3 linked regions of the Canis lupus familiaris genome follow. The protein of the gene in region 1 interacts with the protein of each later gene in a biochemical or structural test. Links are inferred from orthologs where the notes say so. Each region holds a gene or a part of one and is shown on either strand. Other genes may lie near its edges.

What was found.
Region 2: the proteins of LZTR1 (region 1) and KRAS form a complex in vitro, tested with the Homo sapiens proteins (2 studies listed by BioGRID, with this or other methods). The link is inferred for Canis lupus familiaris from reciprocal best matches to the Homo sapiens genes LZTR1 and KRAS.
Region 3: of the proteins of LZTR1 (region 1) and HRAS, one has a biochemical effect on the other in vitro, tested with the Homo sapiens proteins (3 studies listed by BioGRID, with this or other methods). The link is inferred for Canis lupus familiaris from reciprocal best matches to the Homo sapiens genes LZTR1 and HRAS.

What each region holds. Positions count from the first base shown.
Region 1 is NC_049247.1:30,684,027-30,688,692, reverse strand, and holds the start of LZTR1 (leucine-zipper-like transcriptional regulator 1), read left to right. Parts: upstream 1-1,850; 5' UTR 1,851-1,933; coding exon 1,934-2,133; intron 2,134-2,602; coding exon 2,603-2,665; intron 2,666-4,666. Other genes in the region: AIFM3 (apoptosis-inducing factor 3), read left to right, coding at 385-405, 633-881. UniProt on the Homo sapiens protein: Substrate-specific adapter of a BCR (BTB-CUL3-RBX1) E3 ubiquitin-protein ligase complex that mediates ubiquitination of Ras (K-Ras/KRAS, N-Ras/NRAS and H-Ras/HRAS).
Region 2 is NC_049248.1:24,281,247-24,285,912, reverse strand, and holds the start of KRAS (GTPase KRas), read left to right. Parts: upstream 1-1,746; 5' UTR 1,747-1,889; intron 1,890-4,666. UniProt on the Homo sapiens protein: Ras proteins bind GDP/GTP and possess intrinsic GTPase activity. Plays an important role in the regulation of cell proliferation.
Region 3 is NC_049239.1:25,992,994-25,997,225, forward strand, and holds HRAS (GTPase HRas), read right to left. Parts: upstream 2,946-4,232; 5' UTR 2,891-2,945; coding exon 2,780-2,890; intron 2,602-2,779; coding exon 2,423-2,601; intron 2,300-2,422; coding exon 2,140-2,299; intron 2,053-2,139; exon of another isoform or gene 2,045-2,052; coding exon of another isoform or gene 1,982-2,044; exon of another isoform or gene 1,505-1,981; coding exon 1,385-1,504; 3' UTR 1,072-1,384; downstream 1-1,071. UniProt on the Homo sapiens protein: Involved in the activation of Ras protein signal transduction. Ras proteins bind GDP/GTP and possess intrinsic GTPase activity.

The sequences.
Region 1 (4,666 bases):
CCACTGCTTGGGCAGTCACCCGGCCTGGGACACCCAACTGGACTTGGTGGTGTTGAGCCTGACAGAAGCTGGGGGTGGTAGTGGTGAAGGCAGCTGGGGACACCCTGCACAGAGATATTGGGTAGTTGTTTGGGGTCCGGGGGTGGGGGGACACTGGATGTCAGCCATTACCCTCACCCCAGGATGGTGCCAATGCAAGTCACCCCGTGGGCTCAAACTGCCTACAGAGAGGTCCCCTCCCCCTGCCCAGAGACTGGGGAAAGCTTGGAGACCAAGGGACAGGAGTAGGCCTCAGGCTGGAAACAATGGAGAACCAAGAGGGAACATGAATGACATATTCTCTCCCCGGCCTTCTCTGTCTCTCTCCCTCTTGCCTTCGAAAAGGCTGTTTGTGCTGCACAGCAAGTACGTGGTCCTCTGTCCTTCCTGTCGACCATTCTGAGCCTTTCCCACCTCAGCCCAGAGCCTGTACCCCCATGGTCTTCCCCTTTCTGCTAAGTACCCATTCCTCCTGGGCACCAGGGCCTGGCACAGAACGGGCCTCCTGCTGTCCTCGGGGATCACCTGTTCATGGTGCTGAGTGGGTAACCTGCTGTCTTCTACCCTGACTCCTCCTCCCCTCATTCCTGCAGGACCGGCGACATGTCCTGGCTCACAGGGAAAGGATCCTGAGCTCGCATGCAGCAGACTTGGGCAGGCACGCTTGGGCACCAGGGACAGAGGCCAAGCCCTGGGGGCAGGTGCCAACCTCCAATTTCCCAGGATCCCCCAGGGCAGAACCTGAGCCTTCCCAGTGCTTGCCTTCGGTTGCCTGGCTCACCTCCAGAGGCTTCTGCTGCCTCCAGGAGATGCTTACTCCCCGAGGCCTCAGCTGCCACTGATGGCTGGCAATCCAGGCAGGACAGGCCTATCCTCTTCTCCCTTTCTTGAGACTGGTCCCCTGCAGGACCCTGCAACATATTAGATATTATCTTAAAAAATTAAAACACACACATTTGCAGATCTGTGTGACTTCCATTGTAATTGGACAGACACTCATGAGGGAGAAAGCACAAGCACACGGTGCTCAGCGCCACACCAAGGAAGTTTGGTCTCTGAGCACACTCAGAGGAGATAGCAACTGATTCTGTCCCTGGGGTTAGGGAAGGCTTCTCTAAGCAGTGTCTTGGATCTGGATTTTGAAAGAAGGGCACTTCAGGTAGAAGGGACAGCACGTGCCAAGCGTCTGAGATGGGAAGTGCTTCCTCGGGGGTGAGAGGCAGCTCGCTTGGCAGTTTGGGGGCATGTGCCTGCCTAGGGCAGTAGGGCCTGGGTCCTGAGACAGAGCCCATGCTTTTCATGGCAGCTAGTTCCCTGAGTCCCCATTTTGCAGGGGAAGAAAATGAGGCTCTGCCATTAAGTAGGAAGGAGAATCTAGAGCCTCTCATAGAGCCAAAAGGAATACCGCGGGGGAGACGCGGCAGCCAGAAGTGGGGGCGCAGGGCTTCCTCCTAGGTCGCTGCAAGCCCGGAACCCTCCACCCGGGATCCCGGGGGCGGCGGACGGTCAAGGCCGAGCCCCGCGCAAACAGGGCATGCCGGGAAGTGTGGCCCCTCTCCCGCAGACGTGGGCCTGGCCGGCGCCGGGGAAGTGCAGTCCGGACGGGGCTGGGGACCGGACGCCGCCTTCCCTGGAAGGGGGCAGCGGCCGCGCGTACTGGGCGGGAAATGCTTCCCAGAGGGTCACCGGCTCCCCGCTTCCCGGGGGTGGCGCCGGCCCGCGGACTCACGAGGAGCGCTCAGTTTGCCGGGAGGGGCGGGCGGCCGAGCGGCGCAGGCCGGAAGTGTGGCGCGGTCGGCACAGGGCTCGCCTGGGAAATGTAGTCCCTCGGGGCGGCCCGGGGCGGTGGCTGCACGTCCCGCGGACCGGGTGGCTGATCAGGCGTGGACCCGGGATGGCTGGGCCGGGGGGCTCGGGAGGCCCGATCGGGGCCGGGGCCCTGGCGGGCAGCGCACGGTCCAAGGTAGCCCCGAGCGTGGACTTTGACCACAGCTGCTCTGACAGTGTTGAGTACCTGACACTCAACTTCGGGCCCTTCGAGACAGTGCATCGTTGGCGGCGCCTCCCGCCCTGCGACGAGTTCGTGGGGGCCCGGTACGGCGGAGTAGAGGGGGTCTTGGGGACCGGGGGTGTCTGGGAGGTCCCGGGGAGGGGCCCAGGGGCGAGGCCAGGGCGTGGAGTCCAGCCCTGGGTCCTGGCAGTGGGGGGTGGGGAGGAAGTGATGGTGCCCTGGAAGATGTCTGGAGCGGAGGGGGTGTGCAGAGGGCGTCTCGGGGCGGGGTGGGGCCCGGGGCAGGTACTAGGGCCAAGTGGTGTTGGTGGGTCTGGAGCTGGGGTCCCAGCAGCTCTGCAGTGGGGCCCGGAGTCCAGAGAGCCCCCCGGCAATATCAGGGGTCTGTATACAGGGTCCTGGGGTACTGGTGGAATTTAGGGACCTCTATCCGTCTTAGCAGCCGAGAGGTGTTACCTAATTTCTGCGGCAGCCCTCGTGCTTAGCCTCATTCCTTGGGCGCCCCCAGGAGGGTCCTGACCTCACTGCCGCCCACCCATTCTTTCTTTCCAGGCGCAGCAAGCACACAGTGGTGGCCTATAAAGATGCCATCTATGTATTTGGTGGAGACAATGGGTGAGTGAGTATGCATCAGGGTGTTAGAACCGGGGGAGGGAGAAACATGGTGGCACTTCTCCTTCACTGTAGTTCTCTTTGGACTTTATCCACATGCTCACATGGCAGCATTTAGAGGGCACAGTTTTTTGTTTGTTTTGTTTTTAAATTCCCATATTTTCCACCTTTTTGCAAAGGTGTTCCCACATTGCCATAAATTCCTGGGAAACAACTTTCCTGATGTTTTGTTGGTGGACACACTTCTATCCCATGAACTATTCCCACTTAAGTGGTGGCTGGTCTCCTTTGGTTAAAGATAATGGCTGAGGTAAACCTTTGGTTTGTGTGACTGCTTCCTTCTGGTGGTGTTCCCCTAAGACCCATTCCCAGAGGGAAAGAGCTCTTATCACAGGCTGGGCCATGTTAAGTATGGGGCGTGGGCATAGCAGACATGCTTGGAGAGAAGGGGTCTGGTCTGGGCAGAGAAGCCTTCCTGGAGGGGTTGATGACCTGAAAGATAAGTTAGAGTGAGTCAGGTAAAAGAGAGTGTTCCAGGCAGAAGGACCAGCATGGGCAATGGCCCGGAGGTTGGGGGATGCAGAATGGCACCAGGCCTAGAGTCTGGACAGGGCTTCCCTCCCGCATTCATTCGTTGATGTGGTTCAGGAAAGGCCAGGGATGCCCACCAGGGCTCTGGGAGGCTTGGGAGCCTGCTAGACGTGGGGCTGAAGCTTGAAGCTTGATCCGGATAGACCGAGCTCAGTTCAAATTAGAGCTTTGTGACTGGGCTCCGGGTGGTGGCTTAAATCTCCTCCTCTGTATAGGGGGTGCCTGCATGCTCTGCTTTTGCAGTGTGCTCCTCAGGGTCAGTGAGCACAAAGCTGGGAAGGGCTCAAGACAGAGGTCTGGCTGTCCTGCAGATGCAGTGTTTGCACATGACCGATTTCTGCCCATGAGTCCATCCCTGCCTCTCAACCACAGGACGTGGCCTGAGGTCCAAAAAGGGCTGGCCTCTGATCGGTTCTGCAGCCTTGGTCTTTCAGGACTCCCTGGGGGTGAGGGAGCTGACTTGGAGGTGTTGGGGTACACAGGACCCCACAAGGACCTGCAGACCAACAGTGTGGTCTCCTTGGGCATGGCCTCTGGCCTCCAGCCTGTCTCCCCAATAGCTTCTTTCCCCATGAGCAGCCAGAGGGACCCATTTGAAGATGCAAGTCTCAGTGTGTTCCTCCTCAGCACATAGCCCTGGGGACTCCCCTCCGTCTGAGTACAAGCCCAAGCTGTCCTGGCAGCCGACCCTTTACGCTTGCGCCCGCCCTGATTTTCTGCCTTTGTTTTGCACGGCACTGGGCTACACCCCTGTCTTGCTGTGTTCTGAGTGAACCAAACATCTCCTGCTCAGGCCCTGGTACTGGCTGTTCCCTCCTTCCCGCCCTTCCTGCCTCTCTTCTGAATATACTGTGAGTGAGGCCCTCCCGGCCACCTGGACCAGCTGTTGGCCCTCCCCTCCCCTTCTGCACCTCTTGCCGGCCCCATGGTAAGAGCACCGATCCCACAGATACCCTCAGAGTTCTCTCAGAACACACAGATGTTTATGTGTCTCCTCCATGAGGGGGGGACCTGTACCTGCCACACAGACAATTCAATAAATGTGTGTCACGTGAAAGAATGAAATGGGAAGAGGCATCTGCCCACAGATGCTCCCTGCTGCCTTAATGACAATCCCCCCACCCCAAACCAGGCAAGGCCTGGTGTCCAGCCCAGAGCAGGAAGTGGGAACATCCCTCCCAGAGTTCTGTAGCAGGTAGAGTTGGCATGGCAACTGTGTAGCAACCAGCAGAAATAATTTGCTACAATGTGGCATCAAGAAACAGGGTACAGATTTGTCTCACCCTGGTTGCAATTTTGTAGAGATCCACTGGGTGCAGAGAAAGACCCCTTCCTGCAGCGTCTGGGAGGGGGGAGGAAAGGAGGGGGGAAGGAGCAGATGGGAGAAGGGAGAAATTATGGTCACATCTCGGC
Region 2 (4,666 bases), on another chromosome or scaffold:
TTATGAGGTTGTTGCAATGATTAAATAAGATGATTTGTGCAAAACTTTTATTTTTTTTTAAAGATTTATTTATTTATTCACGAAAGCTATAGACTGAGAGAGGGAGAGAGGCAGAGACACAGGCAGAGGGAGAAGCAGAGTCCTCGAAGCCCGATGCTGGACTCCGGGATCATGACCTGAGCAGGTGCCCAACGGCTGAGCCACCCAGGCGTCCCTGTGCAAAACTTTTAGCAACGACCTGACATAGCGTAGACACATTCTTTTCCCTTCCCTGTCTTCTATTTCCTCATTTCTGTCTTTTCCACCTGCTACTAGGTGCTAGGAGAAAAAGACCAGAGTAAGCCTTGCAGGTAACAGCCCATTAAGGGGGAGGTAGAAAAGGGTGACAGTTGGTGTAAGGCCTATGTTAAGTGAGGTAATAGCTGAGATGCAAAAACAATCGTTATGTCGTGTTTTACGGTGTGGACGAGAGAGAGGAGAGAGAGAGAGAACTGCAAGTAGAGATTCAGCTAGGTGGTCCTATTAGGTACAGACGCTGGTCGGCCAGGCCTCGGTCTTCATTTTTTTATTCATGATAGACATAGAGAGAGAGGCAGAGACACAGGCAGAGGGAGAAGCAGGCTCCATGCAGGGAGCCCGACGCAGGACTCGATCCCGGGACCCCAGGATCACGCCCTGAGCCAAAAGGCAGGCGCTAAACCCCTGAGCTCCCCAGGGATCCCCCAGGCCTCGGTCTTTTAAAACCCACCCCAACAATTTACCTTTCTAGGTAGTTTATCAGACTCCGGGATATGGCAGCAGTTTTAATTGCTCCGTTGTTGAGCGTGTTAACTCCCTGCACGTTACCCGATTAATCTGGGGTCTTCTCCCAGGTCTAAACTATCACGGGGCTCTTCTACTTGAACAGTTTGTCTGGTCTGTGCCGTCAGGGGCAGTAGGCACCTTTGAGGTCGCTGCCTAGAACGACCTGTGATGACTTGGAAACCTCCCTAAAGACAACAACAGAAAAGCAACAGACCTCCTCCCGGGGAAAGCCTGTGTCACGCCCGCTCGGGCTTGGGGCTGGGGCTGGGGAGCCCCCCGGGTGCGGAGGCTGGTGCACCCCCAGGCGAGCGGCGGCGTGGACTAGTCCCGCGCGGGGGAGCTGTCTGCCGGATGTCAGGGTCCCTAAGTGCCCGGAGTCGCCTCCCACAGTTGCTCCCCGCATGTTTATTTACTTGCTCGACCGGCGGTAACTGAACGCGCCCGAGTGCGGCGGGCGGCGGCCTCCTCGCGGCTTCTCCGCGTGCTCCCGAAGGGCGTGCGGCGGGGTCGCTCCCCGCGGGCTCCCGGCGCGTGCAGGCCCCCCGCCCCCCGCCCCCCGGCCGGTGCGGATCTGCGGCCGCAGTCCCGGGGCGGGCCGCCGCGTGGGTGCCGCCCAGACCGCCGAGGCTGCGCCGGCCCGGCTCCCCCGCCCCCCGCCGCCCGCCGCCCGCCGGCGCGGCCCCTCCTCCTCCTCCCCTCCTCCTCCTCCTCCTCCTCCTCCTCCTCCTCCCCGGCGGCGCTCGCGGGCTCCCTCTCTTCCCTCTTCCCACACCGCCCTCAGCCGCTCCCTCCCCGCACGCCGGTCTGGCGAGGAATCGAGCGCCGCGCGCATCGATGGTCCTGCCCTCTGCGGCCGCCAGGCCCCGAACCCATCGGTGAGCTCGGAGCTCGATTTCCCTAGGCGGCGGCCGCGGCGGCGGAGGCACAGCGGCGGCGGCGGCGGCGGCGGCGGCGGCGGCGGCGGTGGCGGCTGCCCGGCCAGTACTCCCGGCCCCCGCCATTTCGGACGGGGAGCTAGCGCGGCGCGGGCACTGAAGGCGGCGGCGGGGGCCAGAGGCTCGGCGGCTCCCAGGTGCGGGAGAGAGGTACGGCGCGGACCACCCCTCCCGGGCCCCTGCCCCGGTCCCGACCCTCCTCGCCGGCGCCGGGCGGGGCCGGCGGCGAGTGAATGAATTAGGGGTCCCCGGAGGGGCGGGGCGGGGAGGGGGCGCGGGCGCGGGCGCGGGGCCCCGGCGGGCGGGCGGGCGGGCGGGGCGGGGGCGTCTGCAGGGGGAGGCGCGGGGGCGCGGGGACGCGGCGACGCGGGGAATGAGGAATGGGCGGTGCGGGGCTGAGCAGGGTGAGGCTGGAGGCGGCCGCCGCCGGGGCTGCTTCCTGGACGGGGAACCCCTTCCTTCCTCCTCCCCGAGAGCCGCGGCCGGAGGCGGCCGGGTGCGGAGAAACTCGCGGGCTGGGCGGGCTGCCCCTCGGGGCGGCCGGGTGCGGTGGAGGTTACTCCCGATGCTCTCCAGGCTCCCCTCCCCCTCGTCCTCTCTCTCTCTCTCTCTCTCCCTCTCCCTTCGCTCCCGCACCTCTTCCTCCCTTCCCAGCCCTCGGCTGCCTCGGTTACTGCCTCCTCCTCTGCTGCATCGAGCATCTCTAGGACGGAGGCATAAACTTCTCCCTCGAGCGCAGACCGGACGGATAGTGGTCCTTTTCAGAGTATAGGGTGGGTATGGGAGTAATAGGAGAAGGTCACGTTTCGGAAGAGCCGAGGAAAGTGCTGAGGAGACCACTGTTGGTGGTTATTGTGTTTGGAAAAAAAAAAAAAAAAATGCATCTGCAGCCGAGTTCCTGACTGCTCCCCTCCCCCATGTATGGGCTGTGACATTGCTGTGGCCACAAAGGAGGAGGTGGAGGTAGAGATGGTGGTGGAAGAACAGGTGGCCAACACCCTGCAACGTAAAGCCCGTGACTTCGTGAAAAGGAAAAAGTTAATCCCAGAAGGTCTGTTTTGCTTTGTCAAGTTAAAACACACACACACACACACACACACACACACACACACACACACACAAAACCCGCAGAGCAGAAACAGGGCTTTTTCCTTGCTAGTTGAGTGTAGACAGCAATAGCTAGAATCCTACTTAAAGTTTAATTTGCCTGTTCTTGTCCTTTCCCGTGTCTCTTGTATATTACCTTTGTCCTCACAAATTTGACCCCCATCCCAAGAAGTACTACTAAATGGCACTCACACACATTTTTTTTTGTTTTTTTAAATTGACTTGCAAAGAGGACTTAATTGTAGCAGTCTCCCAGCCAACTGCCTGAAATACTCTTAAGCATGTGTATGCTCTAGCAGAAGTCCTAAGCTACCTTCTTAAGTCTTGGCATTTATCAAAATAAGAGTTAAAGCAGAAAGGTACTTTCTGATTTTTATACAATATACATGTTATATTTGTAGTGGGGAAAAAAAATCATTTACATAGAAATTACAAAGGGAAAAATTCTGTTCCTAATCATCATCTCAGAATCAACCATATGAGTGATGTCACTCTTAGGTGACTAAGGTCCAACGTGCTGACTCGACCATATGATAGACTATAGACACCAAATACGGTTGATATCAATACTGTTTACTTTGAGACTGTAGACATCCACAGCCATACTTGATTTTAAGAGACTGTAGATGAGAGGATAATTCAGTTTTATGATTCAAGTGACTTTCTTTTTCCTGTAACAAAACACTGGGTTCTAGTCCCACTTTACCCCTCTGTAGCTATGGGTGAGGGCGGCTCTTTCTGGGCTATGATCTTCAGTAAGACTCCGTGGGAACCCAGTTCTGTCTAGTGGATTTAAATATTATTTGGTTTCTAAAATCCAATACAGGGATTTTTTTTTTTTTCTTCCCCAGAAACAACGGCTGCATAAACAGGTAGACACCAGAAGGTGTGTGTCTCTCAGAATTCACACAGTTAAGCTCTAGTCTGGCATCTGTCCACAGTATCTCCTAGGCTATCAAACTTTTTAGTTGAAAGGACACCTTATACTCTTGAAAATTATTGAAGATCCCCATATGGGGTGTGTCGATACGTACCCTAATACAAATTAAAACTGAGAATTAAAAAAATTGGTTAATTCATTTAAAAATAGAAATAATAAGCCTATTACTTGGTAACATAATAGCATTTTTATGAAAACGGTTTTTCAAAACAGAATAGTGGCATTGTTTCACATTTTTGCTAATTTCTTTAACTATATTGCTTAATAGAAGACATCTGTATATCTGGTTCTGTGTTCACTGTATTGTGATCACGCCTGGAAAACTCTGCACTTGTGCAAAGAGTGGAAAGGGTAAATAACATTGTGGTAGTAATAGTATTGTTACTATTAGTGTGGTTTTGACCTCTTGGACCCCCAAAAGTTTTAGTAATGCTACTGGATTCTCTTGGATGACAGTTTGATTAACTACTGTTCTAGGCTATCCAAATTGTTGAGGGGGAAGGATAGGCAGAGAGGTGGCGTACATTTTGGTGTGATTCTTCTCATTGTTCCCCATTTCCTATGGCCTGTTGGAATAAAAAGTGGGAGTGAACAGGATAAGATACATGCTTGTAGAGGCTCCCATGATGGCCTAGCACATAAGGCTAGGTGGCACAGAATAGGCCACGGAGCTGTAATATAACAATTGTGTAGCCTAACTGTTCTTTGTGAGAAGACTAAAATAGCTTAAGGAGGTAACGGTTAATATGTTATCATTTGGAAAATCATATTACCTTTCCTTTGAGGGTGGGGTACTGCCTATTTGGATAATTCTTGGTCTTCAGTGACTAGGATTCTACTTCTATAGTGTTTATATCTGCACATTCGTTAATTGAGAATA
Region 3 (4,232 bases), on another chromosome or scaffold:
CGGCCACTGCAGCTCATGCCTCTCGCTGGGCAGTGACGGGCACAGCCAGGGCAGAGCCAGGGCGGCGCTGAGCCCGCTGCCCCGAGGCCCCGCACAGGCCCGGGACCCTCTGCCCTCTGCGTCCACAGGGCAGCTCAATGCTCGCGGGCAGAGCGTGGTGGTGAGTGCGGGGGCCCAGAGGCTCTGGCCCGCCGTCACCGTGCCCTGCCTCATCTTGCTGTCCCTCCCGGAGGGCGGCACCCCCCGCACAGGACACCAACCCCTGACCCAGAGGGACCTGGGCTGGCCTGGCCCCAGGCTCTGTGGGGGCAGGGGCGACTCGAGAACTGCCCCCCAGGCCCAGCACTAATGGGATCCAGTGCTCCGGGGCCCTGGCCAGGCCTGCGTTCTGGCCCCGGGCTGAGCGAGCCCTCTCAGAGCCGGATGTGGCCTCCTGGGCCCTGGGCGTGCCCCACAGATCCAGGTCACTGACCTAGGGCAGCCCTGGGGATCCCGGGACACCCCAGGGCAGGGCAGCAGGGGCAGGCCCGTGGGCCCCACCCGCACCCACACCAGGAGGCAGGCTCCTCCACGTGCTGGGGCTCCAGCAGTCAGTCACCCGGCCCCAGTGGGCCCGAGGCCGGGGTCCAGCTGCCCTGCGGGGACCTAGAGCAGGAGCCCATGGGCCGCAGGTCCAGGCCAGCTCTGCTGTCCCCAGAACCGCCTCTCAACACCCCAACCTCAGGACACACACCCCCACCCGGAGTCCGCACAGGCTCCAAAGTGGGCGACTCCAGCACCCGTACCCCCGTGGGATTCCCGCTTTCCTCTAAGGACAGGAAGGTCTCCCAGGGGAAGGCGCACACCCTCGGCTCTGAGCCCGTTTGCTGTTGCAAGTTCAATAAGGTGTTGTGTGAAAATGCACGGCCGGCTCGTTTCTGCGTCTCCCGGAGCTCTGTGCACGGGGTGTGGAGACACCCCCAGAGAGGAGGAGGGGGGACCTCCCGGCCCCGACCAGCCCCTGCAGGGGCGCCGCCAGGCACACACAGCTGACGTCCCCACGTGCCTTGCAGGTGCGGCCATACGCCAGGGTCAAGACCATCAAATAATTTACTGCGACTCAGCCTTTGCCCCGCGGGCAAGGACGGGACTGGGGGAGAGTGACAGCCGGGGGGGCCCGTGGCCTCAGTTCACGACAGTCTGTGCAAAGCGCCCTGGGAGGTCCGTGCTCCCCCTGTCCAGGGGGCCTGGGCTGGCCGGGCCCCGGGGGCGCTTCCTTCCTTCCTCGCCCTCCTCCTTCCTCCTTCCGCGCCTCCTCCCAGCTTCCGGCACCTCCTCGCCCCGAGCCTGTGCGCCTGGGGCACAGAGGACCAGCGGGGCTGCCAACGTGGCCCTGGAGGGGACGTCAGGACAGCAGGCACTTGCAGCTCATGCAGCCTGGGCCTCCCTCGTCGGGCGGGCTCAGCTTGCGCACCTTGTGCTGTCGAATCTCTCGCACCAGCGTGTAGAAGGCATCCTCCACGCCCTGGGAAGACGGGGCTGGCTGAGCGTGCGGCTCGGCCCGGGGGCCTGGCAGCGCAGGGGACCGAGGGACCCCAGCGTCAAGCTCATGCATCATCCCAGCTCCCCCTGGCCTCTCCCCACCCCGCCCCCACACAGGCAGCCCCAGGGCTCCCCCCATCAGGCGGCTTGGCCCTCAGGAGCTCCCCCACAGGGCAGCCCCGAGGTCTGGCTCCCAGCTCTAACATCCAGGGTCCCGCTCCTGTCTGACCTACCACCCTGGTCCCCCACAGCCCATTAAAGAGGGCAGGGCCTACACGGGCCCATGGGGCTTTCTGCGGGCAGGGGCCAGGGCCCCAGGGTCACCACTCGGCCTGGCTCAGGGCAGCTCTCTCTGGGGACCTCTGCCTCTCCCTGGAGCTGTGTCAGCCCAAACCCTGGGCCCCGGCCTCCCTCGCTGCCCTGCCGTCCGGGGACACTTACAGCGCTAGGGGCCGCTGGGTCACGGGGGTCCCGGAGGGTCCCAGAGGGTCCCGGAGCTGGAGCCAGAGCCAGACCGGCTGCCCTGTGTCGGGGGAGAGGGGGCAATAAGCACTGCTCCCTGGCAGGGGCGGGGCGGGGCGGGTCCCCAGCTAGCTGCGGGGTGGGGAGCCGGCTCACCTGGCGCGTCTTGGCTGACGTCTCGATGTAGGGGATGCCGTAGCTGCGGGCGAGGTCCTGCGCCTGCCGGGACTCCACGGTGCGAGCAGCCAGGTCACACTTGTTCCCCACCAGCACCATGGGCACGTCGTCAGAGTCCTTCACTCGCTTGATCTGCTCCCTACAAGAAGGAAGGTGGGAGCCAGTCGGTAGGCTGCAGGCACGGCTGCATCCGAGACCCTGACAGAGAAACGCGATGAGAGGCAGAGGAACAGGTGGCTCTGAGGGCCGGCCGGAGGCTCACCTGTACTGGTGGATGTCCTCAAAGGACTTGGTGTTGTTGATGGCAAATACACAGAGAAAGCCCTCCCCCGTGCGCATGTACTGGTCCCGCATGGCGCTGTACTCCTCCTGGCCCGCTGTGTCCAGGATGTCCAGCAGGCACGTCTCCCCGTCGATGACCACTTGCTTCCGATAGGAGTCCTGCGGCAGGCCAGTGCTTCAGAACGCCCAGCCCCACACCTCCGAGGACGGGGCCACCCAGCCACCAGCCCCTCCTAGGTCCCCAGGTGCCACCCCCAGGTCCCACGAGCAGGGGCCGCCCTCCTGCGGAGCCCACAGCAGACATGCCCACAGCAGGCTCAGGGCTGGGCGAGCTCACCTCGATGGTGGGGTCGTACTCATCCACGAAGTGGTTCTGGATGAGCTGGATGGTCAGGGCGCTCTTGCCCACGCCTCCAGCGCCCACCACCACCAGCTTATACTCCGTCATGGCTCCTCACGGGACGCAGCACAGGACGCCAACGAGGTCTCCTGTCCCACCTGCTGAGGAAGCTGCTCTCAGCCCTGAGCCAGCCCCGTGGGGCAGACCACCCCGGCCCCGACCCGGTCCCCAGGCCCCACACAACCAGGGAACCGGGCGCAGCCGCCCACCTGTGGCACCTCCAGCGGGGGGGGCGGCGGGGGGGGGGGGGTAGGCACCTCGCCGGCGCTCATGGCTGCGAGAGAGCAGGGAGAGCTGACAGCTGAGAGCATCTCCCAACCACGCACCCAAATTAGAAGTTGCTGGGTAGGCAGAAAGCGTGCACTGGAGGGACCCGGAGGCCCTGCAGGCTGAGATTACCGCCCCTCCCCGCAGAAACAGGTCCTGCCACAGCGGAGTGCAGCAGCGTGCCCGGGCAGGCCAGAGCCCCGCCGCGCCTCGCTGCACCGGACTAGCATCTGCGGAGCGCCCGCGGCCGCCAGCTGCTGCTCCGGGGGCGAGGCCCGGGCCCTCCTGTCCCGGGGGGAGCCCCAGGCCCGCGGCCGCTCGAGCTTCGCAGGAGAGCAGCGGCGGGCTGCGGGGATGGCGGCCCCGGGAGCAGGCCGGCGGGGTAGGCGCGGGGACGGCGCTGGGCCGCGGCCTCCGGCCCGGCTCCCGGTCTGGGAGGTTTCGGGACGCGGTGCCCGGGGCTCCGGTGCGAACGCCCGGCTCGCCCGCTGTGCATCGCGGAGGCCGCCCGCCGCCCGGGCCTCGGGGGCGCGCCTGGCGACCTGGGGGCCCCGCACGCGGCCCGCGGAGGAGAGGGCGCGGACGCCGCCGCCCGGGGCGCCCCCGCACCCCGCACCTCGCACCCCGCACCCGCCGCAGCGCCCGCCCGCGGCTCACCTGCGCCCCCGCGCGCCCCGCCGCCGCCGCCGCCTCCACCGCCCGGCGCCGCAGCCCCGGCCGCCCCCGCCCCGCCCCGCCGCCCGCCGCCCCCGCCGCACTCACCGCTCACTGGCGCGACTGCCCCCGGGGCCGGGGCCGGGGCCGGGGCGGGGGCGGGGAAGGGGGCCGGGGCCGGGGCGCGCGGCTCGCCCAGCGCATGGGCTCCGTCCGCGGAGGGTGCGGCTCGGGCTGCGGGCTGCGGGCGCGGGCGGGCGGACACTCGGGGGGGAGGGCGCGCACGCCCCGCCCCGCGCCCGTCCGTCACGCAGGCGCGGCTCGCCATTGGCCGCGGCCGTCGGGCCACGCCCCCGCCCCGCCCCGGCCCGCCCCGCCCCGCGCCGGTTGGCCGGCCCGCCCGCCCGTCACGGGCCGCGGCCGGGCGGGGCTTCCGGGAAGCGGCGCGGAGGGCGGTGCCCGGCCCCGG